2 linked regions of the Notamacropus eugenii genome follow. The protein of the gene in region 1 purifies or fractionates together with the protein of each later gene. This does not show direct contact. Links are inferred from orthologs where the notes say so. Each region holds a gene or a part of one and is shown on either strand. Other genes may lie near its edges. The genes, in order: PTPRU and GOLIM4.

The links.
Region 2: the proteins of PTPRU (region 1) and GOLIM4 purify together in Homo sapiens (affinity purification with mass spectrometry; 3 studies listed by BioGRID and IntAct, counting the BioPlex papers as one, with this or other methods). This does not show direct contact. The link is inferred for Notamacropus eugenii from reciprocal best matches to the Homo sapiens genes PTPRU and GOLIM4.

The regions. Positions count from the first base shown.
Region 1 is NC_092876.1:70,423,098-70,431,146, reverse strand, and holds the start of PTPRU (receptor-type tyrosine-protein phosphatase U), read right to left. Parts: upstream 3,062-8,049; 5' UTR 2,946-3,061; coding exon 2,873-2,945; intron 1-2,872.
Region 2 is NC_092877.1:356,331,941-356,339,382, forward strand, and holds the start of GOLIM4 (Golgi integral membrane protein 4), read left to right. Parts: upstream 1-4,385; 5' UTR 4,386-4,839; coding exon 4,840-5,026; intron 5,027-7,442. UniProt on the Homo sapiens protein: Plays a role in endosome to Golgi protein trafficking; mediates protein transport along the late endosome-bypass pathway from the early endosome to the Golgi.

The sequences.
Region 1 (8,049 bases):
CTCCATCCCCACCCCCACTGCACAGAATAAAGTCTGTTTCTAGGCACCCAAGGGCTGAGATGTCTACACTGACCCCAGGAATCAGGATGTACACTATCTCAAAGAAGTCAGGGGTCCTCAGAGGTCAGGGAATTGGGCTTTTATCTATGCAGAAATCCCAAGCCAGTGGGCATCCAGCTTGGACTCTGATGGGTTAGCTCTCTGCCTCCTGAGACAACCCAGTCTATTATCCCAACCTCGACCATTTTTACCCCAGTCCTTGGAACAGCGGGAGTTCTAAACATTCTCCTCCCCAGTCCAGACCTGGTGAAGAGGGAAAGTAGGAAATGCTATCCCACCACTCCCTTGCCACCGGTCCCCTCCCTCTCCGCTTCAGAGCCCAGGACCATACAGAGCTCAGTTATGAGGACCCAAAGCTCCCTTCCCCCAGCACAAATGACCTCAGTTCATGGAGTTGGACTGAACCTTCTATTAATCAGGAGGGGTTTAGAGAAGGCTGTGATCAGGGCCCCACCCTGGGGGGTGGGGTGGGAACTAAGATCGGGGAGGGGAGAGGTACACAGAAAGGTGGCCAATGAAAATTCATGACTTGCCCAAATAAAGGAAAGAGATCCTGCTCCCCACCCCCATCCAGGGTCCTTTAGAAGGATCCCCCTTTCCAGGATACAGGACATTAAACTGGCTGATGGGGGGAATCTATTTTCCGGAGAAACCATAGAGCCCCCAAGGGGGTCATAGGAGCAGCTGGGAGCTACCTCCCCTTCTTAGGCCCAAAAGGTTACTGGCCATCCTGGGAAACCCAAACTGGAATTCAGCTCTTCGAGTTCAGATCTCGACAGAGTCCTGTTGTGATGGGCGACAGGAAGGCGCCAGACAGTCTGGGTTTGAGGTGGGGGCCACCAAACCGGAGCGGAAAGAAATCTCTCCAGCGGAGTTTGGAGACATCCAGAGGCCACCCCAGCCGAGGGTCAGGGCTGCAGTGACCTCTGCCCCTCCAGGAATCATCCCGGGATAACCCTTCTAGGAGCTCCCTCCCCATCATCCAGGCCTCCCCCAGGTTACAAGGTGCAGTCTGCTCCCTTCCTTCAGCCTCCAAGTCAGTCCTCGGCTCTCCAGGCTGAGCTCAGACGCGGGGCGCGGCACTAGAGGCCTCAGGGCCCCCTAAGTCAAACTGCTGTGGAAAACAGGGGCCCGGGAGCCCGAAAGGGGAGGAAGACGTGGTCATGATGGCCCTCTGCGAACCTGCGTTGTTACTGGAGGGGGACGGAGCCATCACCTTTTGGCACACCCGCCCCCGCTCCTCCACTTCCACCGGGTTAAGAGACCAAGTGCTCCCAGGCCGGGAGAAGAGGACCGGCGTGGTTGGTGTCCCTCCCCCCATCGTGCACTGGCAGACACACACTGGCATGGACTAGACGGACGCACTCAAGCAAGCACGCACACGCACACACACACACACACACACACACACACACACACACTCTCACATACTGGGCTCACGCTACACCCACTGTGAAATGGACACACTTCGAAACACACGGGCACAGACAGACACAGGGCACGCTCAGATGGACGGAAACAACAGACAGAAAGGCGACACAGATAAAGAACGGGTCACACAGACGGACGGACAGAGGCACAGGAGCCACTTAGACAGAGGGACACGCAGAGACAAGCACACGGACACGCACACGGGCACACTCAGACACAACCTGTGCCGGATTGCGGAAAGACCCGGGTACAAAGTTACGAAGTCGGCGGGGGTAAGGGTCCCTAGGGATCCGCTGCCCAGTCTGACCTCTCCTTGAGGCTGTTCCCTCCTAGGAGCGGGCATCACCGAGAGGGGACAGGAGGACAAAGAGGGGGGAGAGATGGCCAAAGCAGGCACTTGCCGACGTGCCCCCGGGTGAAACCTGCTCCCAACCCCGGCTGCTCTTCTCCCAGGCCGGGCGAGCTCGGAGGCTTCCCAACGGGCTCTCCCTCCTGAGTCCCAACTGAGAGCCTTCTCCACCCCCCACTCCCCACCAGCCCCAGCCAGGCCACAGTAGCTCCGCTCTCCCCCGAGTGCCTCCTCTCTCCTCTGCGGTCTGTTCGATTCTCCCCATCTCCGCCTTCCTCCGAGATGTCTCTGGCTCCCAGGTCCCCCTTTCCTGACTCGCTCTCTCTTTTCTCCCCGACCCTTTCTTCCTTCTCCTTTCTCTGCCCATTCTCGCTGCCCTCTGCCTTCTCTTCCCGTCTCCACTCCCTCCTTCCTTTTCCCTCTCTCCTTCCCTCCTTCTCCCCCCTCCCCCTCCCCCCTCCCCAGTTCCCCTCGGCTCTCTCTTCCCCCCACCTCCGGCCCGGCTCCTCCCTCCAGCCCCCAGGCCCGGCCAGATTCCCTTTCTACGTTCCCGCCAGCTCCCCCCGCCAGTGTAAACCGATGGACCGGGAGCCCCGGGGCGCTGACCGAAGCTCGACTCCGTCTCCGGAGCGAGCCGCTCCGAACTTGCGAAACAACAGAAAGCAACCCACAACATGTCGGTGTCAGCGGCCGGCCGACACCCCCTCCAGGCCAAGCTGCCCTCCTGGCCCGAGCCCCGGGCCCCCAGGAGCCCAGGGCGTAGCACAAACAAGTTGTTTGACCATTTTGCGCGCACACAAACACAGACACACACAGAGACACACACAGACACACAGTCTCAGCACGCACACACAGACACATACAACACTCACACATACTTCCTTGCTGCGCAGCCCTATCTGCCCCAAGGTGCACGGGTCCAAGGGTCCCCAGCTTGGGGTCCCGGGTCACAAGTTGGGGTTCGGGAAGCGGGGCCCCCGGGGAGGGGGTGGGGAGTCCCGGCGGGGGGGGGGGGGGATCCAGTTCTCTTACCTGTGGGAGTCTCGCTTTCCAGCGCGCAGAGCTGGAAGGTGAGCGCCAGGATGAGCGCCTGGGCGCCGGTCATCGTGCGCCACCCTCGAGGGCCCCGGGGCCACGGGGAAGGAGCGTAGACCGGAACCCCGGAGCCTCCCGAGCCGCCGGAGCCGGAGCGGAGCCGGGACTGGCACTGAGTCCGGAGCGGGCGCTGGAGCCGGAGCCGGAGCCCTGACGTCAGGAGCCCGAGCAGCGGCCTCGCGTTCCAAAGGTGGGGGGCGCCTCCTGCCGGTCCTTGTGTGGAAGTGCGGAGGTCTGGAGAAGCTGGGCAGGGACTGCGAACCCCACAACCCGCAGGGAAGTGAGAGGGGGAGGGCCGCGACCCCCGAATCACCGCTAGGGCCACGGAACTGGGAACAACAGAACGGCACCGATACGGGGGCATCCTAAGCCGCTGGTGCGCCCACCGTTCTCCAGTCCGGTCAGTTAAAATGTCCGGAATCCCATTAGACTCTTGGTTTTGTACACACTCTCCCTTCTGGGTCACTGAGGCACTCAACCCTGGGATCACTGTCCCATGCGACCAGCACCAGGACCTGAAGCTGGTCCCTCCGCAGCCCCTTTTACCGGGTCTATCCTCTTGGCACATTCAAACACGTATTCTACAGCACACCTAGGAAAGCAGCCTTCCACAAACCACTCACTCATACACATACTTTCAACCCTACACAAATTCAGAGAGCCTTATACCCTAGTAGAAGAATATAAACAGTCACCTGTCAGACCTGTCAGATCATACACAAGGCCCTGAGGACCATAAGGTTCCCATTCAAGTAAACGTCAAAGAATCATGAAATGGCAGATACTAAAGGGGATCTTAAACCTTAAAATGTTAGAACTGGAAGGGCCTTTAGACTGTAGAATGTCAGATCTGAGAGGGATCTTAGAACACAGGATGTCGGAGCTAGGAGAGATCTTAGAACACAGAAGGTTAAAACTAGACAGAATGTTAGAATGGAGAATGTCAGAGCTGGAAGACCCCTTAGAACTTAGAATGGCAGAGCTAGGAGTAACCTAGCCATAAAATAGGAGCCATAAAATGGCATATCTAGGAACCTTAAAGCACATAACATTAAAATTGTAAGGAGACTTAGTATATAAAATGTTAAAATACAATGTCAAACATTATTGATCTTATACTCAGACACATCACTTTATAGATGGAGAATCTAAACCTCAGAGAAGAGGAAATGACTTGCCCAAAGTCCCACAGCCAAGGACAGTTAAAAACTGGAATTCAGGCATCTTGACTCAAATATCCTTTCCATCTTCCCTCAAATATGCATGTGATCAGTCAACAAACATTTATTAATCACATACTGTGTGCCAGGTATTTTGCTAAGAGCTGAAGATACAAAAAAAAGCCAAAACAGACCCCACTCTCAAGAAGCTCATAGTCCAGTGGGGGAAGTAGCATGCAAAGGACTAGGTACATAAAGGATATATTCAGGATGGAAGCTTTACACTTTCCCCAAAAATGTATGGGATTTGATTGATCACACAATATGTAAGATCATAGACTTAGAGTTGGAAGGGGTATTAAAGGTCAGCTAGTCCAATCCCCTCATTTTATAGTTGAATAAACTAAGACCCAGGGTCCCCACAGGTAGAAAGTGAAAGTAAGACTTTGAACACAAATTCTGAGATTTCAAAACCATCATTTTTTTTTCTACTATGCCCTGGTGCTTGAGGAGAGCAGGGGAAATTCCCTTGACAAAAATAATAATAATTTTTTGGAATTGCAAATACTGCATGCATATATGTACATATACATATATCATACATATATATGTGTATATATGTGTATGTGTATATATATATGTATATGTGGTTTGTGTCTGTATACATATATACAGACACACACATATACATGTATTCCTGTGCTACACTCCAGGCAGTTGCTAACCATCCATAGCCCTCCTGATAATCTCTCTACCCTACTAAGAGAAAGTGACTGCTCTTTGCTGCTGTCTTTGAGATCTTGGGAAATTCACAAAGTCTCTGGCCTGCAGTTTCCTCACCGATGAAATGAAAAGCTTGCACTGAATGCTTTCTAAGATTCCTTCCAGCTTTAAAGCCTATGATTCCTTCAACAGTCTACAATCAGTGGTGTCTCCCTCTGCAGGACGCTAGAGTCCTAGCAGTCCCTCAGGCAACTGACTGTTTACTTGAACTGCGGTTAGTATTCTCTAGATACCTCTGTATGGAATTCAAGCCACTAGTGCCCAGGGCAAAGGCCTTGGAGAGGGGCCTAATGTCCAGAGCCCTTGGTTTCTGGCCTCCTTAAGGCAAAGAGTCTAGGGCATTAGAGACAGTGTACGGTACTGTGTAGAGTCTCAAAATCTTAGAGTAGCTTTAGAAGGGAACAATACTCCTTACCCTCATTAGCTCTAAGTTCCAGCCAAATTGGCATATCTGAGGCTCCCTAATCTGTCATTCTTATTTGTCTGGTTTTTTTAAGAATGATTTTTTTCTTTAGGTATTTTCCAAGGACTTTTGTTTACTCCTATTGTTTCTCTTAACCAGAAAATAGTATTCCTTCTCCCACCTCTACACCTTTGCCCAAACTATGTTCTCCTTCCTCACCTCTGCCTCTTGGAACCCCTAGCTCCCTTCAAGCCTGGGCTCAGATATCAAGTCCTAAAAAAGGCTTTTGTTGATTCCTCCAGTTGCTGGTGCTACCCCTCCACCTCCCACCTCCAAAAACTAATTATTTTGCATCCGTTGTGTTTATATTTCTCTATTTCCATGTTGATTCCCTCCACTAGAAGGAATGTGAGGATAAAGACTGTCATTTTTGTATTTGTTATCTCCTGGTGTCTAGTATACAGCAAGCACTTCATTAAGGCTTGCTGAATTGAATTGACCTCTGAACACTTCTAGTCCATACTACACACACACACACAACAACCCCCAAAAAAAGTCATCCAGCCTCTTGCCTGTGATGGGCACAATGTGGGACTTGGGAGTCAGGAAGATCTGAATTCAAATCCTACCTCAGATATTTACTACCTATGGGTCTCCTGGCAAGGTATCTCCATTTGCTTCAGTTTCCTCATCAGTAAGATAGCACCTAGTCACAGGGTTATCATAAGGTTTATATAAAGTGGTTTACAAACCTTAAAGCCCTTCAGGATTGGGGAGCCTGCAGTCCTTGACTGAATTCTGGCTGCACTTGAGAACCTAGAGGACCACATGTGACCTTGAGGCCACAGGTTCCCCACTCCTACACTATACAAATACTATTATCCTTACCTCCCAAGGCAGCCCATTGCTCTCTGGGATAGCTCTAATTTTCATGTAGTACTGGAAGTAAGAAGACCTGGTTTGGAGGCACTCTTCCCCCTCCCTACCTCAGCCCTGCCCCACCTTCTGCCATTTACTAATTATGTAACTGTGGGCTATGGAGTTGAGGGGAGGGGTGTTCAGGAGGACCAGCACCTCTGGCATGAGGGCATACCCTTTTCAGGACTGCTCATCCACCTTTGGTGTCCACCTTCACCTAGCTCTCACCAGTGGCTCCAAGAAGCTGTAGTATACTCATTGGACACACCCAGGTAAACCTCTGGGAAGACAGACTAGACTAAATTGAAGGTAATTGATGGGCCTCCAAAACCACCCAGTGAATTAGGGGGATGTCTACCCCAAAACTTCAGTGGAATGGGCGGATGAGAACAGTTTGTTCCAATGACCATGAAAGCAGTTGAAGCAGGTGTTATGTGCCAAGGTCATCCACTGCATCCCAGGCCGTCACCAATCAATGACTTTTGTCCAGCTGTGTGACCCTGTGTGACCCTGGACTTTGATGATTCTGGAAGAGCTAGTCAGGCTGGCAATTTCGTGCAACTCTGCCTCACTTAAATCTAATTTATTCACAAATCAAGACATCACCCCATGATGTCATTGGACCTCTTAAAAATGAAAAACAAACAACAACCTGTAGCTGTGGGCCAGAAGACCCTTAACCTCTCCTGGTGCTGATACATAAACATGGCTTTGGCCTAGACAAACTCCATCAAACTCATCTGTAAAGCAGGGATAACAAGATCAGCACTGCTTCCTATCCCCTGGGTCCCTTTGTGAGGGGCCATTCAAAGGCCCTCTGCTGGGGTGCTTGAACAGCGCTGAGTTCTTGTCTCTGTTTACTCCTTCCCAAGAGCCCACATCCTTCCCAGTGGGAAAGCACCGATGTCAGAAATCTCCAGGCAATACCACTTCAGCTAATCCAATGAGCTACTACTGTAGGTGAAAATGCTTTGAATCCTGTAAAGGACCACCGTGATGTAAGGCTGCACTATTAGTTATACTATAATGCTGCAAGAAAAGAAAACCTCTCACCTCCCCATGGAACTTTTCCCAAAAAGCTTCAAGTGCCTATATGATCATTGTACTATTTGTCCCCCCCTTAGGGAGTAGGATTATCCATACTTCCAAGGCTCAGGAAAGGTGACTTTTCCAAAGTAGCACAGCAAGACAGAAGCTACTAGGGTTCAAGCCGGGGCCATAACCACACTGATGCAATTGGGGATACAGAGGTAATTTTCATGTCTGAGACAAGAGTACAAAACATGGCTGGGACCAGTAACATAAACATAACCCCAGATAAACTTTGTACCATCAATTCAGTTTGTTTGTTAGGGGGAGAGATGCCAGGACACAAGAAAGTTGCTTCTGGGACTGTCCTAGGAGGAGATCAGAGGCAGCATGGGCTAAGCCAGAGTACCATGGCAATGGGTTAGCAATCCATCCATCAATTAATTAATTTTTATTCAGTGACTACTACATGCCAGGTATGGTGCTAGCCATTGGGGGTACAAAAACAGTCCCTGCCTTCAAAGAGCTTATATTCTATCAGGGGAGACAACATGGAGAGAGAAAGTGGGGAGAGAGGGAGAGGAGAGAGAGAGAGAGAGAGAAACTCCCCACAATAACACTGTGAGGTAGGGACTATTATATCATACCCATTTTACAGATGAAGGAACAAAAACTGAGAAGTTAAGTGACTTGCCCAGGGTCACACAGCTAGTAAGTGTCTGAAGCAGGATTTTAATTCACTTCTTCTTGAGTCCAAGTCCAGCACTCTATCCACCCTGGCACCATTCATTTTAACTAATTAACCTTGCCAACTTTGTACT
Region 2 (7,442 bases), on another chromosome or scaffold:
TAGGGGTGGTCTCTGTGTAGAGACAGTCCAGTGACATGATGTCACTCAGTCCCTCATTGGAGTGAGTCTACCTCTATTGCAATATTCATTCTCTCATTAATTGTCAACCAATCAGAGTTGATTGTCATCCTCAAGAACACTCACTCTTCCAAGGGCATATAAACTGCGAGCCCACCACCATAAGGGGTCTTTGGCATTTGAGAGAACCACTAAACTCTTTTATTAATAAAATGCTAGCATTATTTTTTGTTGCTTTTTTTTTTTTTTTACCACCAGCCAATCTGGGTTAAGTGATTTGCCCAGGGTCACACAGCTAGTAAGTATCAAGTGTCTCAGACTAGATTTGCATTCAGGTCCTCCTGACTCCAGGGTCAGTGCTCCATCCACTGCATCACCTAGCTGACCAATTGCCAGCATTATTCATTTAATAATTAATTATGCAGAAATTTTGCCTCTCAAACTTTTTAAACATCACAAAACATGCATAAGTATATACACATATGTATACACACATACATATACACATATTTTGTACATATATACACACATGTATGTATATACATACATACAAATAGAAGGGGATCTTGGCATCTGGGGGAATCAGGAAAAGTTTACAGAAAATAAGTTAAAATTCTTTATTTTTAAATAGAAGACTTATTGAGGATAAGATCTTTCTACCATCAAATTGTCATTTAAAAATATAAGATAAAGTCTTGTGGTTTTAACTGGTTTACCAGGTTGGTGAAAATGCTACACTTTTTCATAAAAAATACCACAGCCACAAATACCACAGACAGTGACTAGAGTTCTGATTTCATCACCAGTTGATGGGTAACCTTGGCAGGTCCTTTAACCTGTAGACCTGGTTCCTCACTTGTTCAGTTGAGGGTATCACTCTTCTGCCAGATTCCCATGTTTGCAAATTGAAAGTCATCCTTGACCCTTCCCTCTCTCTCTCTCTCATTCCTTTCCCACATCCAATCAGTTTGACAAGCCTTATTAATTCTCTGTTTATCTCTACTGAATTTGTTCATTTTCCTCCTCTATTAAGTCTTTGACCTCATGCAGAACTGGATCATCTCTCACCTAACCTATTTCAATGGCATCCTGACTGGTCTTCCTGCTTCCAGTCTCTTCCCTTTCCAATTCCCTCTTCCACACTGCTGCCAAAAGAAACTTCTCAAAGTTCAAAGATGCTGCCACAGTTGCCTATTGTCTCTAGAATAACATGCAAACATAGCCATTGGTATTTTCAAACCCAGTCCAGCTCCAGCTTACACTTCCAAATTATTTTGTTTCTCCACTTCATCCACTCTACATTTCAGACAAAAAGGTCATGCTGTGCCAGTTCTCCTACATTCTATCTCTTGTAAGAGACTGCCTCTGTACCTGGAAAGCTCTTCCTCTTCAGTCTACTGACTTCCTTCAAAGCTTAACTTGGGTGCTATCTTATACACAAGCATTTTCCTGATCTAAATCTGGGCCCAATTACTAGCACACGTGGCTAATAAATTTTTGTTAATTGATTGATTCTTCTGATTATTATTGCTCCCCCTCTCTTGAGATAACTTTAATGTTATTTTACACTTACCTGTTCAAATGTAGTCTCCTGTAAAGCACTATGTAAGCTCTTCGAAGTCAGACTGGTTTTCTTTTTTTTTTGGTCTTTTAATCTCTAGCATCTAGCAAAGCGCTTTGTACGTAGTCCTCCCAAATTCCTTCCTTTATAAAGAGAGCAGAAAATAGACTCTCAATTTATTTCTCTTTGTATCTGCTGCCCTACCTGGTTTCAACTCCATCCCTCCCAGAGTAAACTCATCACTTCTAATCTCATCCCCATGTGGCTAACTCTACTTGATTAATTTTCAGCCTTCTGATTGGAGGGCAGAGTTCCAAACTTCTCCCAATTCTTTCCTTTATAAAGGGCAGAAATTGGGCTTCTCAACTTTGACTTCATTCAGGACTATATCATCTCTCACCTTGCCTATTTCAATAGTATCCTGATTGGCCTTTGCATCTCCACTTGGCATCTGCTTCTCTCCCTGGTTTCAACTCCACAGGACAAAATGCTCCGGCACCAGGTACCCCCTAAAATTCAGTCCCTACCTTCCTCCCACCTCCTTTTGTGTGTCTCTCCCTTTAGACTGTAAGGTCCTTGAGGACAAGATCTAGCTTTCTTTTTATTGTTGCATCCCCAGTACTTAGCACAGTGCCAGGCATGTGGTTGGTTGCTGTCCGCCCTTCTCAGAGGACCAAAATTACATCACTATGCTAGAATCAAGTTTCAGTGTGTTCAACTGTGACTAATCAAAGCGATACAAGCTCAGAATGCTCTACCACAGGTCAGGCACAAATAATTCGTGTGAACATTTGGTGGGAGAGAGGTTCTCTAAATTTATGCCAACCCTGACTGCACCAGGCAATGTTTAGCAGCCAGATGGCACAGTGGATAGAGCATTAGGTTGGAATCAGAAAGACTCCTCTTCCTGAGTTCAAATCCAGCACTTACCAGCTGTGTGACCCTGGGCAAATCCCATAACCTTATTTACTTCAGTTTCCTCATCTGTAAAATGAGCTGGAAAAAGAAACAGTAAACCACTCCAGCATCTTACCCAAGAAAATTGCAGCTGGGGTCACCGAGTCAGACACAACTTACCAATGATAACAAATTGCCTTTATGCTCTAAAAAGATTCCTAGTGCTCGCTACAATGACAAACAGTAAAATCCTGCCAGAATGTCATAAAAATGATGGGGCATATAATGAATATCACTATTAATAAGGAAGCATCTGGGAAATAGCTTACTTTTCTTAGAATTCAGGTCAAGGACAGAAATATAATTATCATTTTATAGGTGCGCATAACCTGAATTCCCCCCCTCAAGTATCCATCTCAAAATATGCCTGCACTGCAGATTTGCTTTTCTTTTTGAAGTAGAGAATGTTTCCCAGTTTTGCTAATAAGTTTCAATTATTTTACCTAGACACTCCTTGCCTTTTACAAGGTAATTTGCAAATGTTGCTTTTTCATAACTTGGTTTTTTTGCCACCAATAAAATAGATAAGACGAAAGGAATGCAAACTCATTTCAGCCTAGGAAGTTTGTTTTTAAAATTGTTCTACTGAGGGTGGGGGAACAAGAGCTCAATTTTTCCTCCTCTTTGCCACTCACAGGCTGATTTCCAAGCGCCTCTGTAACGGCTGACACTAATTCTGGGCAGACATTCCCATCTGGGGACGCACACACCTAGGAATGTGCCCTGCGTAGGACCCCGTGTGCGTATCTGGTGCCAGGTGCCATCTGAGGATGCTGGTTCGCAGACGTTGCACTTCGCGTGTGGGACTGCAGCATGTCCACCCAGGGCCCTGCATTCCACACCCCACGTCCTCTGTGAACTCGGGGGTGTGCCCCCCGCCCCCTGCTCCTCCTCCCTTCCAGGCTGTGCCCCCCGCCCCCTGCTCCTCCTCCCTTCCAGGCTGTGCCCCCCGCCCCCTGCTCCTCCTCCCTTCCAGGCTGTGCCCCCCGCCCCCTGCTCCTCCTCCCTTCCAGGCTGTGCCCCCCGCCCCCTGCTCCTCCTCCCTTCCAGGGTGTGCCCCCCGCCCCCTGCTCCTCCTCCCTTCCAGGCTGTGCCCCCTGCCCCCTGCTCCTCCTCCCTTCCACACTGCTTCCACCTGGGATGCGCACACTCGCACAGCGGTTCGCGTGTCTCACTTCATGCGGACAGCACACATAACAAACACACAACGCCCCCCCCACAGTCACCACACACGTGCGCAGACTCCCACGCGCGTACCCAGCCAAGTCCCCTCCGCTCCTCCTCCTCCCCACCCCCCGCAGGCTCCACGTGGGCACCCCGCGGACCCCGCCGGCCGCCGCCTCCCCACGCCAGGTAGCCCCTCCGGCCGCGCAGGGGGCGGGCCGCCAGAGCCCTCCGGCCAGACAGACAGAGCGGGCGCCCAATGGAGCCGGGCCCTGCCTCCCCAAAGGGAGGGAGGGGCCGCTCGGACCAGCCCAATGAGCGCAGAGCCGCGCGCGGGACTTCCTCCCGGAATCCCGTTGGCCGGAGGAGCTGGGCTGGTGGGTGACACGTAAGTTGAGTGGGAAGCTGTGGCCCGGCCAGAAGCGGCGCTCCGAGCGGCAGCGAGCCCCCCCCCGAGCCCAGCCAGGCCAGGCCAGCGCAGCCCAGCCCCGCGCAGCCCAGCCCCGCGCAGCCCAGCCCAGCCCAGCCCAGCCCCGCCGCGATGTGCCCGGGCTAAGCCGCCGGCCAGCGCACCGGGGCCAGCCTCTCCTCCCTTTGTCCTACTCTCACCCTCCTTTAGGTGGCAACAAAGTAGCGCCCGAGCCGGAGCAGCCCCGCTGGGAGCCGGCCTGGCGGGACCCGGACCGCTCTGAAGCCCTCGCGCCGGGATCCCGCGGGGCAGGGAAGCGGCTGCCGGCCGCCAGCTCGGCCCCGCCGGGCCAGGGGCACCGGGAGCCCGGGCAGCCCGCCCCGAAGCATGCGAAGGGCCCCCGCGCGGGCGCCGGCACTCGGGAAAAGTTTGCTGCTCCGCGGCTGCCTCGACGAGTTGGAGTTGGAGCGGCCGGGGCGATAGCGCGGGCCACGTCCATGGCAGCCCGCCCGGCGGTGCCCGGGGGCTGAAGCGAGCGCGCGCCGCTGTGCCCCGGGGGTCCTGCCTGGACGGCGCCTGCTCCCTTCTCTCGGACCCGTGCCCGATGCTGCCGCTGCTGCCGGCTGCTGCAGCCCCCTCCTGCGGCGGCTGCAGCTGTTGAGGCGCTCGGGGCGCAGAAGACGAGGAGGAGGAGGAGGAGGAGGAGGCTCGGGGGGCCGAAACGGGGACTATGGGAAACGGGATGTGCTCCCGAAAGCAGAAACGGATCTTCCAGACGCTGCTGCTGCTCACCGTGGTGTTCGGCGTCCTCTACGGGGCCATGCTGTACTACGAGCTGCAGAGCCAGCTGCGCAAAGCCGAGGCGGTGGCGCTCAAGTACCAGCAGCACCAGGAGGCCCTCTCTGCCCAGCTGCAAGGTACCCGGGGGGCCCCCGGGGCGGAGCGGGGCCGGCCCGGGGGGCAGCGCGTGCGAGGAACGCACCCAGACTCCCGCCGGCCGGCACGGGCGCACCCACGCAGCCCGCCATCAAAAGTTGCCTTTCTGCCTCGGGTTTAGGGTTCACTCACCGGTGTGTTGGGAACTGAGGCAGCGCCCTTGACCTCGTGGTGAATATGATGCCAGGATGCCTCCCTGCCCCTTGTACCTGTTAAGCAATAGGACCCACCCCTCCCTGCATCCTTGTGTTTCCAGTAGGTTCTGAGATTGTCATTGGCAGGGCACCACAAAGTCAATCTGAGGGTTATAATGGCATTCTTCTTTTCTTAAAGATCAAGTTAGTTCAAGCCCATTATCTTTCTCAGGCCCAGAGACAGTAAGCAGATTTTAAGTAGACAGTAAGCAGATTTGGGTTTCTGTCCCTGGACAGTCCCTTTGTCACTTACATTATGTCATGATTAGAGAAGGCTAAAGCTGGAAAGGGCCCCAGAGATTATCTGCCCAGCGCCCTCATTTTTCAGATAGAGAAACTGAGGCCTGCAGACATGAAGTGGCTTGACCTACATGCAGTCTGGAAGTGGTCCAGCCAGAATTGAGCCCAGGGGTGGTTAAGTTGAAATCCTCTGGGAGGGAGGAGGTGTTCCCGCAAGTCTTTATCAGTTCCTCTAGCATTTAATACTATGGCATCATGGAAGAGTCGCTTGAGGTCCTGGACTTTTAGTCAGGAAGATGCAGGCTAAAATCTTATTTTCCACGTTTACTAGCTGTCTGACCTTGAGCAAGTCACCTAAACTCTTTGAGTCTCAGTTTCTTTATCTGTAAACTGAGGAGATTGGAGCAGATGGCCTCTTGGATCTCTTCCAATTCTGGAAGAAATGAAACTCTCACTCAGCTATGTGATGAGTATAACGAAACCAAAAGCTGTCCCTGCCTGCCCTCCAGGAGCTTAGAGATGAATTGGTACAGAGATAGGTAGACATACCACATGTACAAATTAAAATACAAAGTAATCAGAAAGAGCACTAACATCTGGTGAAATCCAATATGGTTCCTCCTTGCAGGTTGGAAAGGGAGCCTAGTGGGTTGGATGCAGTGGGAGAGGAAGAGCTTGAGTGCCCATACATAGCAGCACCCTTCCCACCACGCTGTCCACCCAGAACCTGTCAGACGGGACCCAGCATTTTGAAAGTTTCTTTTTGCTTGGATCCAACCAGTGAGAATGAGGAAATTCAGGGACAAGAAAGAGGTCATTGCCCTTTGACTGAAATTGATCCAGCTAGGAATTAAAATTTTCAAAATCATCCCCTGGTCTAAGCAAATGGAGAATTAACTGGAATTAACTGTGACTTGTGCCTCTGGGTTTGTGTTTCCCGTCTGTTTGTCAGTGTAGATGGATTGGAGAGGTTTGGAATGTTTACATTGTATATACCATGTGACACTTAATGACTTGTTTACCTTCACTTACCTTTGGTGCATCCCACATGGCTTATTTTCAAAAATGTTTCTTCTGGACCCAGAGTGCAATTGATCACTTGGCCGAGCCTCAGCAAATCCCAGTCCCAACCAGGCCATAGACTCGCTCAGCTTCTATCTATCAGTATATCTAATGGAAGTGTCAAAATCACATAAATAATTCATGGATTCAAAATAAACACTACGTATGGTAAATAGTGCTAGTGGGAAAGCGTCCTTTAGCCTTTGGAGACTTTGAAAGTCTGAAACTCTAGTTACTTTTTAGCTGTTTCCTACCTGGAGTCACTTTTAAATGTAAGGAGTCTGGGATTTGTAGAGAATCTTTTGACAGAGCCTTTTCTGCAAGATAACTTTCAAATTACCTTCATATACTCTGCCTGTATCTTGTGTGTATCTAGATATTTGCTTGTTTTCTCCCCCATTTGAATGTATGTTTCCTGGGAGCAGAGATTGAGATTATTCTTTTTTTTTTTTTTTAATATCCCCAGTGTTTCAAACAGTACTTGGTACACTTAGTAAAGAGTTTGTTGACTGACTATTGGCTGTCCAGTATACCTTGGGCCAGGACTATTTTCTTTAATGTCCTCATCTCCCCTTCCTGGGGTTTCACGCCAAGTGGTTGCTTAATAAATGTTGGCTTGAGTCTTGTGGAAGATTGTTATGGAGACACATTAAAACAATGCCTCCAGGTCACTTTAGTTCTTCTGGATGCTTTTTCTAATTTAAAAAAAATATAATAAGTCAGAAGAGAAAATTAAACCCACCCCTTTGCCTGTGTGTTTTCTGTGACCAAATTAGAAGAAAGTAAGGTATTTTTAGCAAACAGAAACTTCATAGCTATAGGCACCATCCATCTGTGAGCTGGGCTGGGCCCAGAAAGGATCTTGCTTTTTGCATTCTGGCTTTTAACTGTTCTTTTTTCT